Linked DNA regions of Struthio camelus. The main gene of each other region encodes a partner of the protein of the gene in region 3 in a complex. Links are inferred from orthologs where the notes say so. Each region holds a gene or a part of one and is shown on either strand. Other genes may lie near its edges.

The links. The genes of interacting proteins can lie anywhere in the genome.
Region 1: the proteins of SUMO3 (region 3) and USPL1 are in contact, whole or in part, in a crystal structure (PDB 7ZJU), measured with the Homo sapiens proteins. The link is inferred for Struthio camelus from reciprocal best matches to the Homo sapiens genes SUMO3 and USPL1. Residues at the interface, in NP_008867.2 of Homo sapiens: Gln24, Asp25, Gly26, Ser27, Val28, Arg58, Arg60, Gly63, Gln64, Pro65, Ile66, Asn67, Asp70, Leu75, Phe86, Gln87, Gln89, Thr90, Gly91; in NP_005791.3 of Homo sapiens: Ala234, Cys236, Trp237, Pro321, Gln322, Leu323, Arg324, Met330, Glu331, Ser332, Val334, Phe335, Leu339, Tyr368, Thr378, Thr380, His393, Phe394, Gly395, Pro396, Asn398, Arg407, His421, Val423, Tyr451, Asn454, Asn455, His456, Phe457, His493.
Region 2: the proteins of SUMO3 (region 3) and SENP1 are in contact, whole or in part, in a crystal structure (PDB 6NNQ), measured with the Homo sapiens proteins. The link is inferred for Struthio camelus from reciprocal best matches to the Homo sapiens genes SUMO3 and SENP1. Residues at the interface, in NP_008867.2 of Homo sapiens: Gln24, Ser53, Arg55, Gln56, Arg58, Arg60, Asp62, Gly63, Pro65, Asn67, Thr69, Asp70, Gln74, Glu76, Asp84, Phe86, Gln87, Gln88, Gln89, Thr90, Gly91, Gly92; in NP_001254523.1 of Homo sapiens: Gln440, Asp441, Glu446, Arg449, Leu450, Thr451, Lys455, Trp465, Leu466, Asn467, Asp468, Glu469, Asn494, Thr495, Phe496, Lys500, Arg511, Trp512, Lys514, Lys515, His529, Gly531, Val532, His533, Trp534, Gln597, Gly600, Ser601, Asp602, Cys603.

Annotation. Positions count from the first base shown.
Region 1 is NC_090942.1:199,403,886-199,407,626, reverse strand, and holds the start of USPL1 (SUMO-specific isopeptidase USPL1), read left to right. Parts: upstream 1-1,514; 5' UTR 1,515-1,746; intron 1,747-3,741. UniProt on the Homo sapiens protein: SUMO-specific isopeptidase involved in protein desumoylation. Specifically binds SUMO proteins with a higher affinity for SUMO2 and SUMO3 which it cleaves more efficiently. Also able to process full-length SUMO proteins to their mature forms.
Region 2 is NC_090969.1:3,526,412-3,530,152, reverse strand, and holds the start of SENP1 (sentrin-specific protease 1), read left to right. Parts: upstream 1-1,292; 5' UTR 1,293-1,416; intron 1,417-1,867; 5' UTR 1,868-1,914; coding exon 1,915-1,918; intron 1,919-2,323; coding exon 2,324-2,454; intron 2,455-3,363; coding exon 3,364-3,436; intron 3,437-3,543; coding exon 3,544-3,703; intron 3,704-3,741. Other genes in the region: PFKM (ATP-dependent 6-phosphofructokinase, muscle type), read right to left, coding at 430-556. UniProt on the Homo sapiens protein: Protease that catalyzes two essential functions in the SUMO pathway.
Region 3 is NC_090950.1:3,429,138-3,432,878, reverse strand, and holds the start of SUMO3 (small ubiquitin-related modifier 3), read left to right. Parts: upstream 1-1,334; 5' UTR 1,335-1,507; coding exon 1,508-1,528; intron 1,529-2,278; coding exon 2,279-2,407; intron 2,408-3,741. UniProt on the Homo sapiens protein: Ubiquitin-like protein which can be covalently attached to target lysines either as a monomer or as a lysine-linked polymer. Does not seem to be involved in protein degradation and may function as an antagonist of ubiquitin in the degradation process.

The DNA.
Region 1 (3,741 bases), on a different chromosome or scaffold from region 3:
ACACATTCAAGCCCTGTAATTTAAACATAAGAACATATTACTAGGACTAAAGAAACCTAGAATGCCATGAGGCAAATCATTATACAAGTACCACTATCCACTGAAACTACTTAACATTGTTCAATGTATTGCATTACTCTACCAGTTTTAACAGTCACCTTCATCAGTTGAAAAAGACTTGAAATACACATACTCTATTTAATGTGCTATGTATGTAGAAAGGCCAACCTCAACAGCTGTAGAGACACTCATTTCCCTGTCCTATTCAACATACCTCAAAGTGCTTTACGTTTCTGATGGGAGCACACAGAAAAAGTACCTGCTCCACAATAAAAGCACTAATGAATCAAACCCCAAGACCAAATAAAGAACCACCCCTCACAAAATTACCACTGAATTTCATTGCAATCTTTCACCAGCCAGGAAAACTTCTTCCTCCAACAGAGGAAAATATCCCAAAACATTAATTCTAATTTCAAAATATTGCCAAAGGAATCAAAGGAAGAGTAACTACAGCAAAAAAGGAAAACAAAAATGGATCTCAACAGAACCATTACATAGCAAATTATTTCACAATTCCAAACATACAAAGCTAAACACTTTTTAAAATCAAATGAAGAGGAAGGCACCAGCAAACCGGAGACAGATAAAATACAAGACATTTCTCATGCCATCGCTAGAACAATTTCCTGAGTCATCCCATTCTTCAGCCCCGGGAGCAGCCTGGCTAGGGCCGCGCTAACAGACTTCTCAGCGTTGCCGAAGCAGAGCGTTGACCTAAACGCGGCTGCTATCCAGCTCCTTGCAGTTCACGCTGGAGGAAGAGGGGCCGATATGGATTTCAGAACTTGCATCAAATGCTTAAGCTATTTCAGCTTGATACTGCCAGCGCAGAAACGCTCCTGGAAACTGACAGTCCTGAACGAAACCTCCAAAAACGACCGCGAGAAACATTCTAAGCTACCTAATCGGACAGGCTCTTTTTATTTTAAAAAAAAAAAAAAACACCCGTCGGCCAGCGCCGACGCCTCCAGCCGGGAGGGAGCTGGGACGGGCCGGGCTGCGGCGGCGAGGCCGGGCCCGCTGAGGCGGCGGGTGCCGGGCCTCCTGCGCCAGCGCCCGCGGGGAGGCACGGAAGGGGGGAGGCGGCGGGGGGAGGACGCAGGTAGGGCCGCGCCGCGCCCTCCTCCCGGGGCCAGCCCACACGGGGCGGGCGGCCCGGCCCGGCCCGGCCCGGCCCGCCGCTCCCCTCCCCTCGCTCCGCCCCGAGGAGGAAGGAAAAAAGGAGGAGGGAGGAGAGGAAATACCTCCGCCGCTCCTCGCCCCAGCGCCGGCCACCGCGCAGGCCCTCACCCGCCGGCTGGCGGCGGCTCCGCGGCCGTTGGCTGCCGGGAGCGGAGCGGGGCGGGGCCGGCATGGCGGCGGGGGCGCGCGCGCCGGAAGCTGCGCGGCGGCGGCGTGCGCCAGGCTCGGCGCTGCCGGCCGTTGGCCTCGCGGCGGCGTTTAACCGCCTCGCTCGCTCGCGCGCGGGCGCGTGGGGCTGCCGGGCAGTAACGGCCGCCGAGTAACGGGCGGCCAGTAACGGGCGCGGCGCGGGGAGGCCGCGCGTGCGGTTCGCGGGGCGCCGCCGAGGCCGCCGGAGCGCGACGCCGAGGGCCGGGAGCCGAGAGCGGCGGCGGCGCGGGGAGACGAGACAAGGCGCGGCGCGGAGCGGAGCTGCGGGGGCCGGCGCGGAGCCGCCAGCAGGTGAGCGGTGGCCTTGGGCGCTCCGCGCCCCCTCCGGGGCCGCGCCGCTGCTGCGGGAAGGAGCAGGGCCTGGGCGCCTGGCGCGCTCGTTTTGCTGGGAGCAGTGTTCAGGCCTTTGCCTCGTTACTCGGGGGTGCCTGTTCCCTAGGTTGCGTTAAAATGACTGTCTTATATTTCTGAATGCCGACTTAGTATTTCTTGTCAACGTCTGTGTTTCTGAGGTCCTGTTCTTTCTAGTCAGTTAGCGTTAGCTAACTTTAATAGCTAACATTTAACAACAGATGTACGTGGTGATGTACTAGCACGTGTTTATATTTCCCTTGCACGGTTTTCTGACGTTCAAATGATTAACTACATGTATTTTTTTCTTCTACAGTCTTTCCCTAGTGAATGGATCACTCTGGATGTGGGGAAAAAAAACTAAGGAGGCTGTTTTGCCATAGGTTTCTTTTGAAGCATTTGAGCACTACTTGGTGTTGAAGGAAGGGCAGCAACCAGAACAGTGTCAGCCAGTTAGCTGGAGCCGTGTCCATGTGCCCTTCACTTCCACTGCCTGAGTCTGTTTCTGAAATCGTGCATGTGTTAGCTGTAGGGATAACAAATACTAGTTTAAGCTATATTTTTTCCATACTAACTTACTTCTTGTAAAAGCGCTAAAAGGCATCATTGGCAAGATGCTTAGTGCCTGTACATTCCAGTACCTGCATCAAAGCATGTAGTGTACTAGGACATTTAAGATAAGCTTGACTATAGAAGAAGCTTTTAGAACAACTTAGTAATCATACTGCAAATTAGTTTATTTCACAACTTCGTGTATTTCAGCTTCGTTTGCCTTAGTCTGGGTTAGGCTCTTTGCAGGAAAGAATCTTGCATTTGCCGCCCACCACAGGAGGATGGAATTGTAGTTCTGCCTAGCATGTATGGCCTGTGACGTAGGTACAGTTACCAAATGACATCAGCAGTGTCTCTTTAATGTCACACTTACTGGAATACATTTTTTTGGCCAAAGCTGTAATTTTTTCATGCTCTGTGATTTGAATATTAATAGTTACAGCTGGAGATTATAAAAAAAAGACTGTTTTGCGTAAGGAATACACACATACCTAGTAACGTGGTCAATGTAAACGTGTGTGACTTTCTTTTCAAACTTTTTTCACCCTTCCTTTTCAATTTCCCTTTGAAGGAGAGAAGGCATAGGATTTGCAAGAAGTTTAGGCTTAGAAGAGATGTTCACTGTAATGTAATCACTGTTCTGTAACCTGCTTACTGGAGTTCCTAACTGACCTTATTTCACAAGATACTGAAACTGTTACTTGTGTCACAAGGTACACCTCACTGTTATCAAAAGCCTGCTTGCCATATAAATTCTCCACCTCTTCCCTGCTTTCTGTCTTCTGTGTCGTTATCTCTGCAGCTCATCAGACCTTTTCATAAACCAGCTTAACTCACTCAAGTCTTAAGTTTTCTGCTGTTTTATGAGTTCAGCTAGCTTATGGAAAGTCTGACAAAGATGTGAACTGTTGGGTTGGTGATGGAATGAGAAAGAGGAGAAGAGAGATGCGAGACCTTCCTATTACATAGCAGTGACCTATTGGATCATCAGTTACCTGAGGAACCTTAACTTTAGCCTAGTAATTATACCTAGTCAGTAGCATATTTTGCATTATACTTTGCAAGTGTCCAGCATAAGGGAAAGTAGAATAAATGTTTTAAAACATAGCACAGTAAGCTTGAAAGCATATTCCTATTTATTTTCTGATATGTAATGCTGATGTTACATGCTGCTGCAATGGGTCGCTTCAGTAGTTTGTAAAGCAGTCTTTTAGTTATCTGTTTTTCTTGGCAATTGTTCTTAGTTCTTATATGTTGTGCAAATACTACAAATAGTTTACTGTAATTTTACACATACTGAAATGTACCGATAGGTCGCCTAGTACCACTCGGTATATCTAGTACTGGCAGGCCTGTTTTATTAACTGGTTCTTTATATGTCTT
Region 2 (3,741 bases), on a different chromosome or scaffold from region 3:
TGGGGAGAGAGGGGAACTGAGGCACGGAGGCTGCAACACCGGCGGTCGCCGGAGGGGTTGGCCAAGGTGTTTTGGGGACCTGGATGGGCACGGCCCTAGGGCAGGGAACAGCACCATGGCCTCGGGCTATAGGGGTCTTAGCAGCCCCCAGGGCAGAGGACAGCACTTTCCCCTTCGCCCTGTCCCATCCTCCCTCCCTTTCCCTTTTCCTTTTGTTCTCTTCCTCCTTTCCTTTTTGCTTATCCCTTTCCTTTTTGCTTTTTCTTGCCTTTTCCCCTCCTTTCCTTTCCTTTTTCCCTTCCTTTCCTTTTTCCCCTTTCTTTTCCCCTTTTTCCCCTTTCCTTTCCCTTCCTTGGTGCCTGTTGGTACCAGGCTGCTCTCACCGCTGGGACCAGTCCCATGTCCCTCCTGGTCCGAGTCCACACTGACCTGGCGGCTCCCGTCCTTTCTGGGCGAAGGGGAAGAAGGTGAGGAAGAGGAAGACGGCGGCACAGGTGAGCGAGGCCGACAGGAGGAGCTTGGAGGCCTCCAGGGAGAGCTCCGGGAAAACCCCCATGGCTGCCCCGAGGCATCACGGGACCAGCCGTATGGGGACAGCTGGAATGGGATCGGCTGTAACAGGATCAGCTGTGCAGGGACCGGCTGTAATGGGATAGGCTGTGCAGGGACCGGCTGTAATGGGATCAGTTGTAACAGGACTGGCTGTACAGGGACCACATTATAATGGGACCGGCTTCACGGAGACCCTGCAGATGGGGCTCCAGGGGTGGCACTGGCCCACAGTGTGACACCCCAGCGGGGTGTCCCCTCCATAGGGTGTCCTCTCCATAGGGTGACACCTCAGAGTGAACCCCCCCTCCCATGGGGTGACACGGCCATGTAGGGTGACACTCCCCAAGGCAATCCCCACACATTGGGAGCCCTCCATAGGGTGCCCCCCATAAGGTGACACCCTCATGGGCCCCCCCATATGGGCCCCCCCCATAGAATCACTCCCCGCATAGGGTGCCCTCATAAGGCGATTCCCCCCCCCGACTGCCCCCCATAGGGTGCTCCCCCATAGATTAACACCCCCCATACGGTGACATCCCCCCATAGTAACCCCCCTATAGAGTAACTCCCCCCATAGCGTGATTCCCCCCCCCCCGGATTGCCCCCCTGTTAGGGTGCCCCCCATAAGACGACACCCCTGGGACATCCGCGCCGCCAGGGGGCGGCCTCCGCCCCTCTCCGGGCTGCGCATGCGCGGGCCCCTCCCCCGCCGGCCGGGCCCCCGTCCTCCCCGTGACGTCACTTCCGGCGCCGTCGCGCTCAGCGCCGACTTCCGCTTCCGCCTGCCTCGTTGCCGGGAGCTGCCGGAGGCGCCCGGGAAACTCGCGCGCGCGCGCGCGCGGCCTCGCGCCGGTTCCGCTGCCGGTGAGCGCCCCCCTCCCCCTCCGCCGCCGCCCCCGCCGCGCTCCGGGGAGCCCCGGACCGCCCCCCGCCCCGCGGCAGGGCAGCAGTGGCGGGTTACCGGCCCTGCGGCCCCCGCCGCCGCCGAGCTCTTCGTCGCCCCCGGTGGGGAGCCGTGCACCCGGCTGCTCCGTGGGCGCCGCAGCGCGGCGGGGACGTTGTCCGGCGGCGGCCGGGTTGGGGGGCCGCGGCGTGGCCGGGAGCGGGACAGGCCCCTCGCCCGGGCGCTCCGCTCGCTGCCTTTGCGTAAAAAAAAAAGCCACTAGGCCCCTTTTTCTCTATTATATCATTTCGACTAATAAGAGGCCTCCTGCTCCTCCCTCCTGGCTGTGCCCCACGGGTTCCCCCGGTCCGTCGTGGCCACGGGGGTGTTTTTTTGCACGGTGCTGTCGGTATAACCCTTGTGTTCTTGCAGATCTCCGCGGGTGAGCCGTGCCGGTCAGGGATGTGAGCTGCCTGGAGATGGGTAGGTGCATGTGTTTCTGCTATGCCGGAGCGAAGGGTTTGGGCTGCACTGGCACTTACGTGGTCTCTGGTCCCACTTTCTCCTGCTCGTGTAACTTCTCTTGATGCCTCACGTCATTTCTTGCGATTACAGAAAAATATTTGGAGCTTAGAGGCAATGCTAAGGTGCAGATGTTATTTAAGGAGCTGACTGGAGGCTTGCAGGACTGATGAAAGGGACTGTCGTTTTTATTGATTTTTTTTTTTTTTTGTGATATTCATCTTTCCTTTAAAAAAAGGAAAAGTGAAGCCTTCTAACCCAGCCTGCAGCTGCTCTAATCTAAGCAGAACAAACCTCTCTGAGTGCAACTGAGCAGAAACTTCTGCTCTTGAGTCTTCTGGGGATTCATGGGGGCTCTTTCCTCAGATGAAATTGCTGACCCGGTGAGGATGGAAGCCAGAGATGCGGCGTTGACTAACCACAGTTCCATGTTCAAAGCTTTCCCTCCGCAATCAAGAGCGAGCCTGCGGGATCAGCTTTTGCAGTCGGACAGCAAGGTTTGCGACCTGTTTATTCCTTCCTGGCAGAGCCGTCCTTTGTCCGTGCTGTTGCTTCTTTTCACTCGAAATGATCTCTGCTCGGCCCTTTCTCTGAAGGTGATGTGCTTGGGCAGCTGGTCTTTTGGGCTGATTACTTCTCTTGTTGCTTCCGTCTCTATCTTTCAGTATCAGTCTTCCTCCTGGGGTGGAAGCCACTGTGGGCAGGGCCTTTCTCTGCAGCATCCAGCTGTTATCACAGGATAAGATACCAGTGCACGTTAACCTTTGAATGCAACCTGCTGGGTGTTTCAAAGAGTGACTCTCTATTATACAGTAGTGCTGATTGCCTGCTGTCGATAATGCCAAATACTTCCTGAACAGAGCCACTGCTTTAGGAGCCACATTGTGCTTTTAGTTACTGATAAGCTTATAAAGCCGAAATTGCTTGTGAAATCTGCACACGAGCCCTTGTGTGTGCACGTGAATCCTGTGGAAAGTAAAATACACAGGTTTGCTTGTTTTATGGAGTCTGCAAGCATGTGCATGTATCACATAGTCATGTCTCAACGCGTCGACTAGGAGACAGTACCAGCATAGCTATGAAACTGTTTTTTTGCCCTATACCAAGATGAAAACAACATTTGTTTTTCTCTTTTCATTAAAATTGAAATTCCACCTGGCAGAGTGGATTTTAGACTTATTGGGGAGTGAGTGACACCTTCGTGACAATGTGCTGCATTGTCAGGCCAGGACTGGTATATTATTACACCGTTCTACTCTTTCAGTAGTTCCTAATTTATAATTATGTGGTCAGGGAGGGAGAGGAGCTGTAACTTGTCACGTGCCTTTATAGTTCTGTTGCGAGTGAGGTTTAAAGTTGAGAGCTATACTTCTTTTTTAATAAAAGGTTACAATCTCTTTGCCTAGTTCTTACCAAACAAGATTGGCAATTTCACTTGTCCTGCTGGAAATGCATCATGCACCCTCAATTACAGCCCAGGTAAGACATAGTTTTCTGCCCTGGATATAGATGTTTGTTTTTCCTGTTGTTCCCTCCAGCGGAAGATGTGGCTCTGTCTTGACTGTTACTGTGCTTCTCCCCGGCAGAAGTTCCATGTCCTGAGACCTTCCAGGCACCAGGAGAACCTCGAGCATTTGGCTCAAGCGCGAATGGGCAGTGGAGGGGTCTGGTTCCCACTCTAGGTTCTGTGTTGCAGAAGCCTCGAGTGAGTCGAGGCTCTTATCTCGAATCACGCAAAAACCCCAGGTGCGTCCGCATCTCCTCCGTGTTTAGCTTCCCCCCAA
Region 3 (3,741 bases):
AGGCTTCAGTCAGTTTGCGCTCCTAAGCAAAACCAAAACCCTCTTCTTGGCTTCAAAGCCACTGGAAGACAAAACACCCCTCTTGGTCCCCTTTGCCTCTGTAAAGGAGAGGGAACTAGCAGAATGGGATCTGTTTGTCTGGGGAAAAAACGTCTCCTAAATGTGGTGCTTTACAAATAGGGAATGCAAAGTTGAGGCTGCAGAGTGGAGCCAGCTGTCTGGGAAGGAGCCTTCATGAGGATTAATGAGTCCCTGCAGAGAGGCCTCTGCATGCTGGTGGGGCTTGCCGTGCTCTGGGGCTGGGGGGGGACATCAGCGCAGAGGGGGAAAGCAGTTTGGTGAGCGGCGTATCTGATGAGTGAGAGCTCGCTTCGCTGAGCGCAGCCTGCCTGGCCAAGGATGACGTGCGCTTGGGGAACGCGTTGGGGGGGCGGGGGGGAAACAGAGGAGGAACAGATTAAAAGGGTGCAAAGGGCAACTTGGCTCTGAGCCAGGGGATGGTCATACCTGTGCAGTGGTGCAACTGCTGCCTACAGGACTGCCCCGCATCAGGAAACGCGCAGGATGGAGCTGGTGCCGGGCTGAGGGGCAGGGCAGGGCAGAGCGGGCAGCTGCGGCCGGCAAACAAAGGGCTGCCCTGGAAGGGATGGGCGCTCTTTCATAGGAGAGGTGGGTACTGGAAGGGACAACCGACTTCCTGAAAGTAATTAAAATACCCAGATAAAATCTGGGCTGCAGGTGAACTCCAGCTCTGTGAGCAGTGACGCGCGGGGCCGGCCAACAGCGCCGCTTCCCCCCCGCTCCGTGTCACCTGGGCTGTGGACAGCAGGCACCGCCCGAGAGGCTGGAAAGGGTCCTTCTCCGCGCACACAACCGCTGCGGGGCCGGGGCATGCTCTTCCTCCTTCCATCCCCGCTGACCCTGGGGGAACCCGCCCGCCCTGCGGCCCTCCGGGGCGGGCAGGGCACAAGGCGGGATCCCCCCCCCCCCCAAAGCCTGGGGCTGAGCTCCGGCCCACTCCAAAACCGCGTCTGTGTGGCACCGCGGGGCGCCCCCCCCCCCCCCTCCGCCGCCTCAGCGCGGCCCCGAGGCGCGACCGGCCCAGCCGCGCCCGCCCCGCCCTTCCGGCGCCCCGTGACGCACTTTCCAGAGCCGCCTCGGGCCGGGCGCGCGCGCGCGCCGCCGCCTTCCCCCCTCCCCGCCCGCCGAGGGGGCAGCGTCCTCCCGGCGCGCGCGCGCGCGCGCGCCCATCGCCTCCCACGTGACCCCGCGCGGCGGCCAATCGGCGCCCGGGGCTGCTGGCGGCGGCGGCGGCGGGGGGTGGGGGGGGGGTGAGGTGGGGCGCGCGCGCGCGTGCGCGCGCTCTCGCGGGCGGTTGGCGGCGGCGGCCGGCGGGAGCCGAGCGCGCGGGCCGTTCCCCTCAGCGCGCGGGCGCGCGCGCGCCGCCTTCCCCTCCCTTCCCTTCCCCCCGTCCCGTCCCGTCCCGTCCCGTCCCGTCCCCGCCGCCATGTCGGAGGAGAAGCCCAAGGTGAGGCGCGGCGGACCTGGCTTCCCCTCCGCTGTCCCGGTGGGCCGCGGCCGGGCGAGGCCTGAGGCGGCCGGAGGGGGGAGGCCTTCTTCGGCGGGGGCTGCCAGGATGGCGGGGCAGGGTGTCCCGGTGAGGGCGACGCTGCCCCGCCCCGCCCCCGTGACCGGTCCCCCCACGCGTACACCCGGGGTGGCGTGAGGGGGCCAAGATGGAGGGCTGAGCGGGGGGAGGGGGCGGGGAAGTGGGGTCCTGCGGAAGTCCCTTGAACTTCGCCGCTGAGTGGAAACTGCAAAATCGGGGGCTTTCCTGAGGAAAATTGTTCGGTAGTACGGTCGTTCTTATCTGTGCAATGCTAGGAGCGTGCAGAGTTCGTAAACAGGGAAAAAGTGAAGGGAACGTGAGTGGAGTTTGTACGGCTGCATGTCTCTGCAGTTCATTTTCAGGGGGCATCCAGGTAACAGAAATGACCTCTGTTACCTACAGAGGTATGTAGGTGTGCTGGGATTTGCTCCGTGAAGTTTTTTGCTTTTCCCCTATTACCTGAAATGATGACTGCAAAACCGTGCAGGTTTTTTTTTTTTTTTAACCCCCCCCCCCTCTGTGTGCTGTGGAGAGCATCCTCCCTTTATAAACAGGAAGAAAAGCTTCTGGTGGTTGAGAGCTTTGTTACTGTTTGTAATGGAGCCTTTAGATCACTTTTATTCAAAGCAGTGCTCACTGTGTTCTGCCTTTTTGTCTGTTTTTGTTCAGGAAGGAGTGAAAACAGAGAATGATCACATCAATTTAAAAGTTGCTGGCCAGGATGGTTCTGTGGTCCAGTTCAAAATAAAAAGGCACACACCTTTAAGCAAGCTGATGAAGGCTTATTGCGAGAGGCAGGTATGTACATCAAACACTGCTTTTGCAGGTTATGGTCCGGTTCTGCAGAGGGTTCTTCATGCTGCTTGGGACTCTTATCATTTCATAAGGAAGAGCCCTTGGCAGTATGGAAATTCCACTGTTTTTCTTTCTGGAACATTATAAACATCAATGCATCAGAGAGTGAATATGCCTGTTTGTACAGAAGCGCAAGAGAGTAAAGATTTAGGATGCTAAGTCCAGACTCCTAAACTTAACCGACAAAAAAGATTTTAACGCTAGAGTTGATGAAAGTCGCCCCTTCCTCGCTGTGTGCTTCTGGATTTCTAAAATCTTCCCATGACGATACCAGGAGTCAGAATTTCTTGAGTTCCGATCTTAGCTCAGACTGATTTTCTGTGGGAGAGTAGGAATCTTTAGCTTCCTAACCCACAGTTTTATTATCTGTAAAATCTTTATTGACTTTATACAGTATGTATATGTATTTTCCGTTTGGAAAATGGCAGGAAAACAAATTGTAACATGCTGTGACGTTTTTTGTTTACAAATTTTTTTCTCCTCCCTTCACCTACCTTCCCTTGCATGCTCCACAGCTTTGATTGCTGTACTCTACAGGTGGCAGGAAGCTGCTTTGTGTAGGAGACTATTCTTTGGTGCTGTCCCCATTTATATGGAAGTGTGATTTACCCTGATAGCCTGCTTCTCGAGTCTGTAGTTCTGAATGTTTGAACTACTTCTACACCGTATTAGGTGGCACAGAAAATGAAAGCCGTTCGCGTTCCTACCCTTCCTGAAGTGGAGTGAAATTTTGTTTGCAGGCATCGCCGTATCTAATATATGTGGGATCCTTTCTTTGCTCACCTGAGTTGTATGTTCTGCCCTCTCATGCTTGATGGAGCAAAATGCCACTCAGGTTGGGAACAAGAGCTACATACAGTATCATCTTGAGAGATGCATGAGGAATTTTTGCATCTGTGCGATGGTGGTATGCGTGATTGGAAACATGTCTGAGTAGCACAGGGTTTTCAAAGGATTTTAGAGGTCAAAACAAAGACGTAGATCACTGAGGCAGGGAATAAAGACTGTATCATGTAATTCAACGCTGTCATAACATGATTCCCTTGTGAATTCAATGAAGATTTTAAAGGCAGCGTTAACCCACTGAGTTAAGTCTAACACTTAAAAGCCCTGGTGTTTTTTCTAATGACTTTTCTAAGTAAAGATCTGCATAAAGGCCTGCAAATTTTTTTCCCCTCAGACAATCTTTGCTTCATGTTTCCTTTTCTTTATCAGAAGATTAAAGAACTAGAGTTGGGAGAGGATGCCTGGCACGAATCAAAGTCTTGCGACTTAAA